3 linked regions of the Schizosaccharomyces pombe genome follow. The gene in region 2 interacts genetically with the main gene of each other region. Each region holds a gene or a part of one and is shown on either strand. Other genes may lie near its edges.

Evidence for each region.
Region 1: of pek1 (region 2) and cch1, changing one suppresses a phenotype caused by changing the other (phenotypic suppression), as found in Schizosaccharomyces pombe (2 studies listed by BioGRID).
Region 3: of pek1 (region 2) and rho2, a mutation in one rescues a mutant of the other (synthetic rescue), as found in Schizosaccharomyces pombe (one study listed by BioGRID).

Annotation. Positions count from the first base shown.
Region 1 is NC_003424.3:2,724,572-2,732,205, forward strand, and holds the start of cch1 (plasma membrane calcium ion import channel Cch1), read left to right. Parts: upstream 1-1,587; 5' UTR 1,588-2,147; coding exon 2,148-7,634. Other genes in the region: SPOM_SPAPB2B4.07 (ubiquitin UBTD1 family protein), read left to right, coding at 1-524. UniProt on the Schizosaccharomyces pombe protein: Voltage-gated, high-affinity calcium channel that functions together with yam8 to mediate calcium entry into cells. Required during conditions of environmental stress.
Region 2 is NC_003423.3:4,310,693-4,314,692, forward strand, and holds pek1 (MAP kinase kinase Pek1), read left to right. Parts: upstream 1-1,750; 5' UTR 1,751-2,070; coding exon 2,071-3,162; 3' UTR 3,163-3,448; downstream 3,449-4,000. Other genes in the region: ATP-dependent RNA helicase Dbp8, read right to left, coding at 1-654, 744-867, 935-1,064; fit1 (CoA pyrophosphatase (FIT) family lipid storage protein), read left to right, coding at 3,796-4,000. UniProt on the Schizosaccharomyces pombe protein: Involved in the mkh1 signal transduction pathway that plays a role in cell wall integrity. Activates spm1/pmk1 via phosphorylation.
Region 3 is NC_003424.3:4,420,994-4,425,193, forward strand, and holds rho2 (Rho family GTPase Rho2), read left to right. Parts: upstream 1-1,697; 5' UTR 1,698-2,008; coding exon 2,009-2,034; intron 2,035-2,118; coding exon 2,119-2,197; intron 2,198-2,313; coding exon 2,314-2,319; intron 2,320-2,372; coding exon 2,373-2,411; intron 2,412-2,523; coding exon 2,524-2,564; intron 2,565-2,632; coding exon 2,633-2,651; exon of another isoform or gene 2,652-2,699; coding exon 2,700-2,792; exon of another isoform or gene 2,793-2,836; coding exon 2,837-2,971; exon of another isoform or gene 2,972-3,018; coding exon 3,019-3,183; 3' UTR 3,184-3,653; downstream 3,654-4,200. Other genes in the region: protein nst1, read right to left, coding at 1-1,218. UniProt on the Schizosaccharomyces pombe protein: Involved in cell morphogenesis, the maintenance of growth direction, control of polarity and of cell wall integrity. Regulates the synthesis of alpha-D-glucan through activation of pck2.

The sequences.
Region 1 (7,634 bases), on a different chromosome or scaffold from region 2:
ATGTTTTGCACAAAGTAGTGACTTTATTGTACGAAGGAAATGCTGAAGCGGCTACCGAAATGGCATTGGCGGCGGATTTGACGATTCCAGAAAACGATATTAGTAAGGGTGTATACGATTCAAAAGGCACTTTTTATGAAATTCCTAAAATTGTGGCTCGTATCCCTCGTGCTTTTGCAGAACGAAAAGATTCACTCGACGATGAGGATGATAACATGATAAGTAGCAACGACCCTACAAAATCCCCAGAGGAGCATGATACCACCACAAAATCCATAGCATCGCTAAAGGATGCGGAATTGGATTCGTCTTTGGAAACCGTCTTAATCCGTTACAGTAAGGATGACAAAGATTACTCGATTCAGATTAATCCCAATCTTCCTTTTTCTCATGCCAAGTCCCAATTAGAAGAAGTAGGACTTGAAAATGTCCAAAGATTTTTTTTCCTTGGACGCGTCCTTCAATTTAAAAAAAGTTTATCCCAACAGGGTTGGACTTCTGGTATGATCATTCAAGCTATGTAAGCTTTTATTTCTCTTCCTTTGAAAACCGATCCTTCCTTTTATTTCTAGCGATGTTTTAGAGCTAACTGTACAATTTATGAAAACTTTTTTTTTTCTAAAAAGAAAAGTAGTTTTTGGTCTGATGGTTGTATCGTGAATGTGATTTTCGCGTTGTTGCTTCTTTGTGTTCAGCCAAAGGCTTTTTCTTTGAACTCTTTGTTTGTTTTAATTATCATTTTTCATTTTCTTTTCTATTTTTTGAGACATACGATTCTCCTCGGTATTTTCTTTTAATCCTGCTTATTTGACCCTTAGTTTGCTGTACAAATTCAGCTGTTTAATTTGATTTTTTCACCCTTCTTATCAGCACTGTCTCATTCCTTTTTATGTCCGTTATGGATATTGAAGACTTGTTGAGGTTTCAATTTGATGCTTTACGATTAGTCTTTTACATATGTTTCTTTCATTCTTGAATTTTTTTCATGATGAAGCATATCTTTTCGCTATTTTTCATAATTTTTCTATACAAATTTGGTATAAGTTATAATAGTTGGTATTTTTTCTTCTACCCTTCATTGATGTCGATTTCGAGATTATTCAATTAGAGTACATCTTATTTGTTATCCGCTTCAATTATTTCATCTTGTTGGACATACCATAATTCTATTACCATTGAATTAATTTATTTGCTAGACGTTTATATCGTTTGCGAAAATTTGTTACTATCGTAATTTCTTGCTTTCGTTACAAAACCTATCGAAAATAAAGCATTTCATTAAGTAATAGATGTGAGATAAAGAAGTTTGGAAGGAAGAAATAAATTTTGTATTCAATAGGAAGAAAAAATATCTGTTTATTAAAAAAACTATCTATATATTGCTTAAACTAATAGTTTATTTAAGTATTGAATGTGTTTATCAATTATCCTATACATACTTGCAAACTAAAATCACATTTAAAATTAACCCAGAGTTTTAATTTTTCATCTTCCCTGTCTTCGCGGTTCCGTACCAACCATACGGGTCGACCATTCCTACTATTCCCAGTGCTGTCCATATTGCCAGGTTTGGGAACAATCCTCTCCAGCGGACTACCAACATTGGGTTAAGCAAGCACCTTGAGAAAACGTAGATTTGAAAGTTTTATTTATTCCTTTTGTCTATTTTTTTGAATATAAAAAGTGTGAAACTAAAACTATTGAAGCATTCGTACAATTTGAGTTCCGGGCAACAACTCGAAAATTTGTGTCGGCGGCATTTTTACACCTCACTGTTTCTTTACAATTTAAACTTGCATTCATTTTCGTCATTTATTAATATACTTTACTTTAGCATACATTGTCGTTTTCCATATCTCATGAACGCTGGCAATTGGACTCTTTTCTTTACATTTGTCTCTCTTTGAACGGTTTATGAACTACATCCTCCTGTTAGTCCTTTTTCCTTATTTCAATCGTTATTTTGACTTTAAATATTTATTCTATTCGTTACGTTTTATAATTAAATCTTGTTGCACTATATCTATTCCTTTTTTTTGCATTTCCCGTGTTAGAGAAGCTCCTTGACTCTTAAGAGGTTCTGGTTTTCGACGTTTTCTACATTCCTTCAGTCTTTTTTCATCATTTAAAAAAAATTAAGAAGTGTAATGTCATCAAGCTCAAACTCAGATCCAAGCTCTAGCCCTGATAATACCGATTTCATTCCCCTTAAAGATAATCCTAAAGATACCTCTTCCTACATAAATAAAAAAAATCCATTCGTAAACGATTCTTTTGATTCCCATGATGATTCCTATTTGGATAATGTTAACCCATTTGAGTATAATGTTGCAGATGATGAAGATACGATTTCCATGACCAGCGACGGTGTCGAATTTCATAACCTTGGCATAACCGAAACTGTTGATGAGCAGGACAAAATCTTGTCTGAACTTCAATTGGCCTATCCTACTGTTTCTAGGTACTCAGAAACACTAGATAAAGGTCTTCTGAATGGAGATAAAACTACCAAGGGAGATTACACCAGTCTAAGGAGATTTAGAAAACCTTTCTTGTTTGATAAACTATCTCCTTATTTTACTCATTTTTTTTCCGAAATTTACGCTGCGGTTTTGAGAGTTGTTGGCCCTCCAAGAGCTAATGAAACACCCGGAAGAAACTTGCCATTTTCCCCAATTCTCCGCCAAATTTATAATCACCCTTTATACAATATCTTTATTTTTGTTGTAATTGTGCTACATGCGGTTTTACTAATGATTCGTTCTGATGACCCTCATGATAAGTCTCAAACTATCGATTATTTAATTATTGTAATCGGTATCTTATATACGTTAGAGATGTTGCTCAAAATCTATTTATTTGGTTTTTTATATGATGGTTCCTCTTCATTTTATGATTTCATAAACTCGTATACCAAGAAAACTCCCAGAACAATGTCTTATTTGCGACATTCATGGAATCGTGTCGATTTTGTGGCTATTGTTGCTTTATGGATCTCTGTAATTGGTAAAAAACAGCAAGGTATTTTTCGGCTTTTTAGTATGATTGCTTGTTTGCGCCTAACTCGGCTGTTGAATATAACTCGAAAAACTGAAACCATCCTAAAAAGTTTAAAAGAGTCGTCTACACCTTTAGTACAAGTCGTCTCGTTTAATGCTTTCTTTGGGGTAATGATAGCTATATTGGGTGTTCAATTTTTTAAGGCATCACTGAATCGTCAATGCGTATGGCTTGGTGATTACGGGGACCAGTATTTACCTACTGGTCAATTTTGTGGTGGTCATTGGGAGAATGGTATAAAAAGGGCTTACTTAGATAAAAATGGATTTCCATCCAACGTGAACCCCAGAGGTTTTATCTGTGCTGAAAAAAGTGTTTGTCGCGTGGTGGAAAACCCCTACAGTAACACTGTTAGCTTTGACAATTTTTTCAATTCTTTGGAATTGATATTTGTTATAATGAGTTCCAATGGGTTCACGGATATTATGTACGATATCATGGATGCAGAATATTTTGTTTCTTGTCTCCTTTTCATAATATCTGCATATTTTCTTACACTCTGGCTCATGTCCCTTGTGATTGCAGTGGTAACGAGTTCTTTTATTGACTTGCAGCATTCCGGAAAGAATCAAAAAGAACAAAAATCTGTTGATAAACATCTCATTCGAAATAAGTTATGTGAGAAGTACCTATTTTACTCGAACTTTATTTGGATAAGTTTTATAGTAGCCCAGTTTGTAACTCTTTGTACTCAAACATATGATCAAACTTCTAGCACTGCAAATAGGTACCTAATCTTTTACGCTTGTGTGGACTTTCTACTGGCTGCAGAAGTGATTCTTAGATTTTTTGCATACTTGCCAGATTATAGGCTTTTTTTTCGACGGTATACAAATTTGGTTGATATTGTCTTGGCCGTTTTGAATTTGGTTACTTTATTACCGAGTATTAGAAAAAATCCTGTAGCTTTTGGTTGGTTGTCAATATTTGCTATTGCTAGGATATACCGATGCATTCTTTTGATTCCCTATACACGGAAAATTGCTAAACTCTTGTTCTCAAATTTTAAACAACTGCTAAATTTGATGCTATTTTTGGTAATCGTCTTATTCATTGCATCTTTGTGCGCTGTCAGGTTGTTTCAAGATTTGCCCAATGACGGAGATTCAGACGATGATGCGATTAGCTTCGCTACTACTTACGAATCGTTTTTATACATGTACCAGATTTTGACAAGTGAGAATTGGACGGATGTGATGTTTGCAATCCAAGCTCGATTAGCACATCTTCACTTATCGTGGATTCCTGGAGCTTTTTTTACTCTTTGGTTTCTCTTTTCAAACAACGTGGTTTTAAGTATGTTTATTGCTGTCATTCAGGTAAACTTTGCACCTTCAGAATCTGATCTAAAAATGGAACAATTGAAAATGTACTTAGCTAGGTTATTAAGGAACTATAATCCTTTTCAAGCTTCCCTTACTTTGAATGCCTTAATTAAAAGGAATGGATCTCGAAAAGGGAAGACAGTGGATGAATCTCATTATGAGTGGTTATATGAAGACAATATTATTAAAGGCTTTTTGCGTGTTACTAATATTCCTCCTAAAGAGCCACTTAAACCGAGTTTGGATACCTCACCCGAGTTATCTAAATATTCACTGGCAAAGCTGTCAAATAACTTTAAGAGATTTGTTATGCGTGATGACCCTTTTTCTCAAGCATACTTCAAACGTGTTATCGGTATACGCTGGGAAAAGGATATGAATCTCAAGACTGCAGCGAAAGATATGCAAGCTGCTAAAGCATTTGTCCGAATTAAGCAGACCGAATTTTTAAAGAATCACCCAAAGTATAATGATGTGTTTTGGGTCATTAAACCGTCGAATAGAATTAGGAGGTTTTGTCAACGACTGGTAATGCCCGGTGTGAATGAACGATATGGCGGTGTTGAGCCATATCAATGGGTTTACCGTGTAATACAAGTTTTTATTTATGCTTGTATTCTAACTGCAGTGATTATTGAATGCATTGCTACACCTATTTATGAGCGAGACCATTTATTGAATGATAAACAACATGCATGGTTTGTATGGACAGAGGTAGCTTTTGCAACTATTTTTACAATTGAAGCCGCTATAAAAATAATAGCTGATGGATTTTGTATTACACCAAATGCATACCTTCGAAGTACTTGGAATTGCATCGACTTTTTCGTTTTGGTTACCTTATGGATCAATCTTTATGCAGTATTAACAAGCCATGCCTTGCTTTCCCGAGCCTTTCGAGCATTCAAAGCGCTTCGTGTGCTTCGATTAATCAATCTTACACAAACTTCACAGCGGATGTTTCATGACGCCCTAATTAGTGGTTTTTTTAAAATATTTTCTGCCGCCGTTGTGTCGGCAACGTTGCTAATTCCTTTTGCTCTGTGGGCTAAAAACGTTTTTGGTGGATTATTATACAGTTGTAATGATGACAACGTTTTATCAGCTTCTCAGTGTGTTTTAGAATACGCATCCACTCCTAATAATTGGGAGGTTTGGGCACCAAGAGTCTGGTCCAATCCCCCTGATTACGATTTTGATAGATTTCCTCATGCTCTACTCGCTTTGTTCGAAATCGCCTCAATTGAAGGATGGGTAGACATTATGCGTTCGGTAATGGACATTACTGGATTCAATAATCAACCCCAGACCAATGCCTCTTCTGGTAATGCTATGTTCTTTGTGTTGTTCAACCTTGTTTCAATGATTTATATATTGACTCTTTTTATTGCCATCATCATCAGCAATTATGCTGAACGTACAGGGTCGGCTTTCTTTACTGCGGAACAGCGCGCGTGGTTGGAACTGCGCAGGAAGATAAAATCAATGCGTCCGTCGAAAAGGCCGGCCATTAGACCTCTGGGTTTAAGAGGACTTTGTTACGACTTTGCAGTGCAAAAACATGGCATATGGAGAAGGACATTTACTGGGTTGTATATTGTGCATCTCTTGTTCCTTCTAACCATTTTTTATCCTTGTCCTATAGCGTACACTTATGTTCGAAACTCTATATTTCTAATACTGTCAATATGTTATACGATAAACATATGTGTCAAAGTTTACGGTCTTTCATTCTACTATTTTTTTCACAGTTTTTGGAATATGTTTGATGTCGTTGTAACATTAGGAAGTCTCACTTGCAATATTGCTATCCTTGCAAAGTTTGAAAATAGGTCGTTAACACTCCTGCAAACTACTTTATTGGTGTTAGTTACTGTGCATCTAATTCCGAAGTTTGACAATTTTGATCAGCTTTCTAAAACTGTGGTTGCAAGCTTACCTTCTATTTTTTCATTGATTGCGACATGGATTGTTTTATACATTACCTTTGCTATAGCGTTTAATCAGATTTTCGGGTTGACCAAGCTTGGGTTGAATGGAGGGCCTAACAAAAACTTTAGGTCAATACGCAATGCTCTTGTTTTGCTTTTTACGATGACCTTTGGAGAAGGCTGGAACGATGTAATGCATGATTATACTATATCATATCCTAATTGTGTGAATGGTGACGATTTCTACAATTCAGACTGCGGTAACAAACCGTGGGCTTATGGATTGTTTATTGCTTGGAATATTATCTCAATGTACATTTTTGTTAATATGTTTATTACTGTTGTTTTCGACAACTTTTCCTACATCCATACTAAATCTTCCTCGTTTACAAATTTGCAGCGTAACGATTTCCGACAATTTAAGGATTCATGGGCACCTTTTGACCCCATGGTCACCGGTTATATTCCCAAACGCAATGCTGTAAAATTTGTTCTTTCGCTAAGGGGTGTCTATGATTTCAGAATATATCGAGATGAACATACATTGAGAAGCATTATCTCCAAAGTTCAGAGTAAAACTGGGCAGCAATCTGTCCCAATGCTCGAAAATCCCTTGATGGGTTCTGAAATAAACTTAGAGGCGCTAGACCAAATTATTGATACTATTGATGTAAACGTAGTGAAAGAGCGAAGAAACGTACTGAATTCTCTCTGTACAGAGATTATGACACTACCGGGCAACGTCATTTCTTTTTCGAATATATTGATGTTAGTTGTACTTCATAAAATTGTTGATCATCGTGAAGCATTTCCTATTTCTGACTACATTCGCCGAGCGTACGTACTTTCGGAATTGGAAAAATCTATTAGAATGGAAAAGTTGTTGGGTTTGGTTGAAACTTCAATCATCAGAAAAACATTCCTTCAACATATGGAAGAAAAGAAGAAAGCTTTAGAAAATCCTTTCATACTTTTGAGTGAAGTTTCTGAGATTTTACCCGAAACACCCATTCAAGAAGTCCTTCGCCAACATAATGCTGATCCAGAGCAACTTTTAATGTCAACTAGAACACCTTCAGTTAGTGATCGCAGTTTCTCCATCGTTGAATCGACTGTACCGACAATCGCTTCGGGTGAAGGTGATGATAACCATAGCGTGGAAGATCATTTGAAGGTACCAACTGATAATGAACCTCGAAGATCACCTTCTCTCAAAGAAGTCCTTCTTCGTGGATCTCATTCTTTACATTCAAATAACGACCGAACTTCATTTGACATCGAAGCAGGATTTGGAACTGCTGAAAGCGATTTCCAATTT
Region 2 (4,000 bases):
CGTCCAAGTGAATTGATCCTTTCACGTTGTACCATTTCTGAATGAAGTTCGGTGACACGAAGCTCGAGCAATCGAAGAATAGAATATATCAATTCAGCAGTGCGAGTCCGATTTACAAAGATAATTGCAGACTTTTTAGCGTTCTCAGGAATCGTTAACAAATGCACCAAATAAGCTTCTCGTACTTGTGAGGAAACAAATATGTAACTTTGCTGCAAAGTAGAAGGTACGGAAATGTTATCAGTTTCAACTTCGTATAACCAAAGGGGAGGCTTATTATTTTTCTGTGGCTGATATTTGAGCTGACGAATAGCATCAGTAACAGTTGCAGTAAACAAAAGCGTTTGACGATCTTCAGAGGCTGGAAGAACAGAAAAGCAATCATCCAAGTCATCAGCAAAGGTAGGAGACAACAAACGGTCGGCTTCGTCCATTACCAAAAATTTTATTCGACGTAGTCCGGCTATCGTTTCTTCACCATTACTTCTAATCAAGTCAGCTAGGCGACCAGGAGTAGCTACAACAACATGGGGCCGTTTCGATAAATCAATAGATTGTCGTATCATATCCATGCCTCCAACGATGAGCGCATGCTTTAAATTAAGATTAGCACCTAAAGCAGCAAATTGTTCATCAATCTGTATTGCAAGTTCTCTGTTCGAGTTAGCTAATTGTAGTAGAATAGTTAACATTTATACTAATTTAAATTTTAAGAAAAAGTACAATAATGTTATATTTTATACCTGGTTGGTGTCAAAATAAGAGCAAATATTCCTGATGGATCCTTAGACCATTTTTCAATAATAGGCAAAGCAAAAGCAGCAGTTTTACCAGAACCTGTTTTAGCACCTCCAATACAATTACGTCCTATAAATTTTTATTTGTTAGGCACATTTTACACTTAATTTTACTTTATTAATTTTTGTAAGCATACCTTCTAAAATCTGAGCAATTACTCCTTCCTGAATATCTGTAGGTTCATATATTGCAAGTGCTTTTAGCGTATCGATAAGCCATGGCGATATTCCTAAATCAGAGAATGATTTTCTTGTATGTTCTGACATGTTTTCTCCCCGATGTAAGGGTTTTATTTAAATTAAATATAATGGTTACTGTACTGTCAAACCAAACTATTGGGATTCAACTTGTTGCCCTTACTGCAAAATTAACACGCTACGCTACATTACGCTGCTTTAGACATTATTGCTGATGCGACATTTTTCAATGACTTTTAGGTCAACATACACAGATAAAATCTTCATATGGTTAACATAAAGTTTTTATTGTTCTCTAAAATAAGTACAGATAGAACTCAAACTAATTTCTTCAGTTTGCTTGTAAGTTATTTAGTGCTTTTTCGGTAAACCAACGTGCAAAACACAATATTTGAACTTTACGTAGTTAATCGTGTTCTTATAATAGTTAACGGATTGTATGTAGTTATTATAAGCCATAGAAAATCATGCAATGATAAATATATTCTTTTATGTTTTCCTTGAACAAAATTAATTATAATTTTAGAGGTAGACATTTATAGTAAATAAAAGAAGAAAGCTCACAGGATATGATAGTCTCATAATTACATTAACTTATACTCGTAATGAACAATTCCCGAAGTCGTTTTAACAAAGGTCTCACTAATTCTAAAATAACGTATCTACATAGCTAAGTCCATAAGTTATTTAGTGAAGTCCTAATTTAGAAATGTAGGTTATACTAATAATGGTCAATCGTATTTAGTATAGCTTCCGAAAACTATACGATTTCTTCTAATAGAGGCCTCGGTTGTTTGTTTGCGAGGAATTAACTCTTCCATCAAAGTTTCCGTTTATAGTGCTATCCTCTAATTTTCTAATTCAGGAAGCAAAAACTTCAAAAAAGTTTATAATTGGTAGGTTTATTTAGCGGGAAGACCATACGTTAGAATTTACTTTCCTTGCGTTTTTGGAAAAGAAGAATAAAAATTGAAGTTTGTTAAAAATACAAACAAACTTTTGGACTTGGTATCAGTCATCTCTTGTCACTCTTTCTACAAATTGAAAAAATATCGAAGAAAGCGCCCATGCCTCTATGTCCAAAAAACCTGTCTTGAACTTAGATACCAGTAATGGGTTCTCTGAAGAATATATAAGTCATCCTGAACGTAATGACAATCAAGGAATTGTCGAGATTACAGACCTGGTGTTTTCTAGCGAGTCGAAATTAACTCAGCGAAAGGAGAGCCGGGATAGTAAAACATTTGTTCCTTCCTTTCTGGAAGAACTTGATGATGATCACCTACATGAATTGGTTACAAATGGAGGTATTTTGTACATGAACAGTCTAGGTGAAGGTGTTAGTGGCTCTGTAAGGAAATGCAGAATTCGTGGGACTCAGATGATTTTCGCTATGAAAACTGTATTAGCTGCTCCGAATACCGCTTTACAAAAGCAACTCCTTCGAGAGTTAAAAATCAACAGAAGTTGTACCTCTCCTTACATCGTTAAATATTATGGCGCTTGCTACAATAACGCAGAGTGTCAGTTAAACATAGCTATGGAATATTGCGGAGCAGGATCTCTCGACGCGATATACAAACGCGTACGCAGTCAAGGTGGACGCACTGGAGAACGACCATTGGGCAAGATTGCATTCGGTGTCCTTAGCGGTTTAAGCTATTTACATGACAGGAAAATAATACACCGTGATATTAAGCCATCAAATATCCTTCTGACGTCAAAAGGTCAAGTGAAGTTATGCGATTTTGGTGTATCTGGAGAATTGGTTAACTCTCTCGCTGGCACATTCACTGGAACTTCGTATTACATGGCGCCTGAACGAATTTCTGGGGGATCTTATACTATATCGTCAGATATATGGTCTTTGGGTTTAACATTGATGGAGGTCGCATTAAACCGGTTTCCATTCCCTCCCGAGGGTAGCCCCCCACCAATGCCTATTGAATTGCTCTCGTATATAATAAATATGCCACCTCCCCTTTTACCTCAAGAACCCGGTATTAAATGGTCGAAATCCTTTCAACATTTTCTATGCGTGTGTCTGGATAAAGACAAAACTCGTCGTCCTGGACCCCAAAAAATGCTTACCCATCCTTGGGTTAAAGCGTTTGAGAGAATTCATGTGGACATGGAAGAGTTCCTTCGTCAAGTCTGGTCTGATTAGAAGAAATAGTGTCATATGTTAGCACTGTAAGTTGATAAATTCTGTTTGAAAATTCTTATGCTAAATTTCTTTACATTGGAGAATGCATAATCTGATTAATGGCAAAATATTATGAGTCTAACTGTCTTCCAGTTCGCTTGTTGTATGAAATAAATAGGAAAGTCATAATAATATATACTTTTTATTAATTGCTAACGGTTTTTCTAATTTTCTTTATACAAATACCTCCTTTATAGTAATTTTATGGGTTTAACATTTTTAACAGAAATAATTTTGGCTTGATTATGCATACTCAAATCGTAGCGAGAAATGATAGATTTACGCCTTGCTAGCTTTTTAACAAAAATAGGCAAAATAGGCGTTATATGGCAACTTAAAAAACGAAAGAATTCGTATATTTAATTATCCACAATTAAGGACTATTTCTTTTCGTTCTCTTATAACGTGAGGCAATGATTCGTTTTTTTTCTAGTCTACGCACGTAAGTTGGTGGTGTAACTACACCAAACTTCCCAGGGTATACATGTCCTTAACTCTTTCAATGAATTAATTGCTTTTCACTACACCGTTCTATCTTTATTTTTAAGTTTAATTTGTATACGTTGTCTGCCTAATAAAAATTATTTAAAAAAAATGACTGAAAAAACTGCTAGTCATTATTGGAATGAAGAAACCTCTATATTGAAGCTTCGTCGCAAAGATATACTTCTGTTTGAAATATATGCCACTACACTTCTTCTAGGTAGCATTTATAGCATTTATGTTGACAAATGGTCGATTACCTCTTACTTTGGAAACTCGAAAAATTTGATTAATTTGATTTTTGTAAAAAGAGGCT
Region 3 (4,200 bases), on a different chromosome or scaffold from region 2:
ATCCACGTTTTTTTCCTCCAAGCTAGTAGTTTCAATGACTTCTTCATCAACATCAGCATTTGAAGAATTCAACTCGTCTTGGGTTATATCATCATTGAGAGATTTTGATGGTACGTTGTTCAGAGGAATCGATAAAAGCTTAGGTGAATCGGAGATGATTCCTTTCTGGGACTTGTCTGAACCTTCGTCTGAAGCGTTTACAGACTCGGTATTTGCAAGGTTACGTTGAATATTAGCATATTGTTCTAATTCTTCATAGTAAGCATCATACAGTACTTCCAACTCTTCCTCAATTGCTAAACGTTTCCTTCCACACACCGAACAAGAGCATGAGTATTTTTGTTGCTCTTTCATTTTTTGCAAAACAGCTTCTTTTTCGACTTTAACTAACGACCTGCGTTCACTTTCACTTAAGGAAAGCCAAAATTCCCGAATTTGCTCCCGCTCCTCAGTATTCGAACTGCTCCAAATATCTTTGGATTTATTATTGTTAACGTTATTATTCATACTGGCTTGACGCACAGAACCGTTGTAATAAGAAAGCGCTTGCCCATTCCTATAAGTAATAGCAACGTCCGTAGAATAAACTTGTTCAAAATCTCTTTGATCATCCACATTCAACGATGCACTATTTGCTTTTGACTTCTTCTTCTTTTTCTTTTTCCGTTTAGATGAAGTTGACGAACCTAACGCTACTGTATTCAAATTCATATTATTTTGAACGGAGTTCGGTGACATATTGGACGACGTCGCGTCTTCCAAACCAGGTATATGAACTGGAAACTCGGCTTCATCCACGAAACTGGAGGTAGAAAGAATACATTGGGGAGAATGTTCTATGGTATCGTCAGATTCAAGAGTGAATTGCCAATCCGTCGAAGATATTCCTTCGACGTTAATCAACGATGAATCATCACCATTTGCCGAGACCAGCTGCGGATGAGAAATACGAGAATTCAAATTTGAAAGTTCCAAAGACGCTTGATGATCTATGACACCATTATTCGCGCCAACGTCTGTAACTGCAGAATCGGTCCCTGCCGACCCAAGCAAATCCACGTTTGCTTGAGTCTCGACATTTTTCTTGGCTTTCGGTTTTTTCTTCTTTTTATTCTTTTTCTTTGTACCAGAGTTGGGAATAGGTATAAGAAGATCCTTGAAACTTGGAGGTTCTAACCCTACACTGAGTGCTTCGGTGCGAAGAGCTTTATCATTCATGTTTTCTTTTTAAAAATCGCCTACCAACAACGCCTCTTTTTTTATGAGCTTAAAATATGAAACTAACGATTTAAAAAAAAAATAATTTAAATTATTTTTTTTATTCAAATTGTAGCTCACGGGTCTGCGTTGGCAATGTTTTAAGGGTAATCCCTAAAATTCTTAAATGCCGAACTGCCCACCTTTTCTTAGTTCAATATTCAAAAACAGTATACCCCAAAGTACTTGAAATAGTATATCTTCTTAGGGATTTCAACCCAGATGATCCAAATCACAAAGATTTTTGGATTTAACTAGTTCAATTGCTGCTTTGCAGAATGTGGTGAATAAAGCCAAACGGCAAATGGCGTTTTATCATATTTAATGCATCTTAACGTGCAAAATTAGTTCTTTAAGGCATGTTAAGGTGCAATAAGGAAGCGTACGATTCCAATAAATTGAATTTACGATACTTAACACCAAAAGTGTCTATAATCCGCATGGGATAAATGTCACCAAAACCACATTTCTTGAACAAATACTCTTTGAGAAGCTAATTTTTGTGCATATACTACTTTTCGTTGCTCTAATTGAAAGGCTTGGACGTTTGGCTAATCGCTTCATTTGACTATTTCGACAATCGCTTACTCATTTCTTATATTTCAAAAATTCACACCTATTTGGTTTAATTTTTACAGCTTTTCGAACCGGGAAATTTTGGTTGTCTGATCTGCAGTGAATCATTCTTTAAGAAAAATTTGCATAGAAAAAACCTCATACAGTGTTTAATCCGCTCCCTATTAAAAAGTACATGTTGCAATCTCAACCGATTAGAAGGTACGATTCTATGGCCTAATATCTTTTTGCTTCTTTTATTTCTTCTACTCAAATTCATTTTCTTTAAATATTAATATTTTTAAGGAAACTAGTAGTTGTAGGCGATGGTGCCTGCGGGAAGACGTCTTTGTTATCCGTTTTCACTTTGGGATATTTTCCTACTGTAAGTACAGATGTCATAAAAGTGAGCTTTGGCTTATCGCATATTGCACGATACGCAAATACTTATTGTCTTTTCTACCTTATTTATTTATTTATTTACTAACTTACTGGCGATAGGAATATGTAATGCTTTTTTCTCTTTATTTCGTAGAGTTTTTTAATAACAGTTACTATAGGTTCCGACTGTGTTTGAAAACTATGTTTCAGATTGTCGAGTATGTGTGATTAACAAGTTATTGAGCTTTTTCAGTTGGTTACAGAAAGTTACTTTCCCACTGGTCCCTTTTCTTTGGGTTTTGCTAATACATTTGATACTAACTAAAATAGGTTGATGGAAAATCAGTTCAACTGGCATTGTGGGATACCGCGTAAGTACTTTTTTTTCTGATGTTAAAACTATATGTTATGTATTCCTGCATACTAATTCTTGTTTTAGAGGTCAAGAGGAATATGAGGTTTGTTTCGTTATTAATAGTGAGAAATACGTCGTTAACCCAATGCAGAGATTAAGACCAATGTCTTACGCTAAAGCACACATTATTTTGGTTGGGTTTGCGATAGACTCTCCTGATTCACTTGAAAATGTTTCTACGAAGGTTCGTTTCATTAATTGTTTTTTCCAGTCATTAACATTATATAGTGGATTGAGGAAATTAATACACTTTGCCCAAATGTTCCGTTTATTTTAGTGGGCATGAAAGCCGACTTAAGGTCAGATCCCGTTGCTATTGAAGAAATGCGACGTCGAAATCAAAATTTTGTAAAATCACAACAGGTATATATTAATAATTCAAACACGTGAATACTAATTCTTGATATCAGGCTGAATTAGTAGCTCAGCGGATTGGTGCGAGAAAGTATATGGAATGTTCTTCATTGACTGGTGACGGCGTGGACGATGTATTTGAAGCTGCTACTAGGGCAGCACTAACAGTTCGGGATTCGGAAAATGACAAGAGTTCTACAAAATGCTGCATCATTTCATAATTACTAATATCCTAACGATTGCAAACATTCATGTTTCAGTTTATAGGAAAGCCTATCAGTTTATGCGACCTACATTTACAAAAAGCTGATAGACTTTTTTGCTTTTCTTCGCATTTGTTCTTTGCCGTTGTTTCATTTCGTTTTCACTTTCACTTCTGTCGTTTACTTTTTTCTTTTTCTCCCCTATACCTCAAATTTAGTTCCTATTTTATTTTGAGACTCAGGAGTATTATTATTATTTTCATCATTATAATCTTCACGCATCGGTCGAACGACACTAGCCTCCTTTTTCATTTCATTAAGCAAACCGCATTCAGTTATTATTACCTTTTTTTTTTACTCTTAAACATCTTTCATTCTTTTTCAGCATCTATTGTCCTCATGAAAACTACTTTTTGTTTAAAAGATCATAGGACTTTATTTTTAGAACTGCCGCTTGCGCTCATTATGAAGTACAAAATTCATATATGTACATATGCTTTTGTTCTCTTAGGCTAATAGAAAATGTCAGTTTTCCTTATTGATACATTTAATACGTAGGCTCACTTCGCTAAGTAATTTTATGGGGCGGTCAAATTCAAAATTCTGGCTCATTTAAGCTAAATATTAAGACACCGCCAAAGGTATACAACCATATCAAAATTTATCACCTACTAAAGTTTCGAGCCTATTTTTTTCTGGGCATTAATGGGTTGGAAATCAAGACTGGCAAGAGTTAAAGTGGTCACTCTCATCAAACAACTATGTGAAATTATATACCCTTTAAACACCCATACTCCAACAACTAACTTTTCTTCGGGCGTTCACTTCATTAAGAACAACAACCAAAAAAAAACAACCAAAATCCATCCAAATGATAAAGAATGACAAATACGCGGCAAAAATCCGGAACTACACTAAAAATTACACATTCCTTTCATTCTTGATCGTAAGAAAGGAAATCGCCAATAAAGAGAGATAAATTCATACTCAAATACATCACAGACAAAGGATATTAAGACCACAGACATATGACAG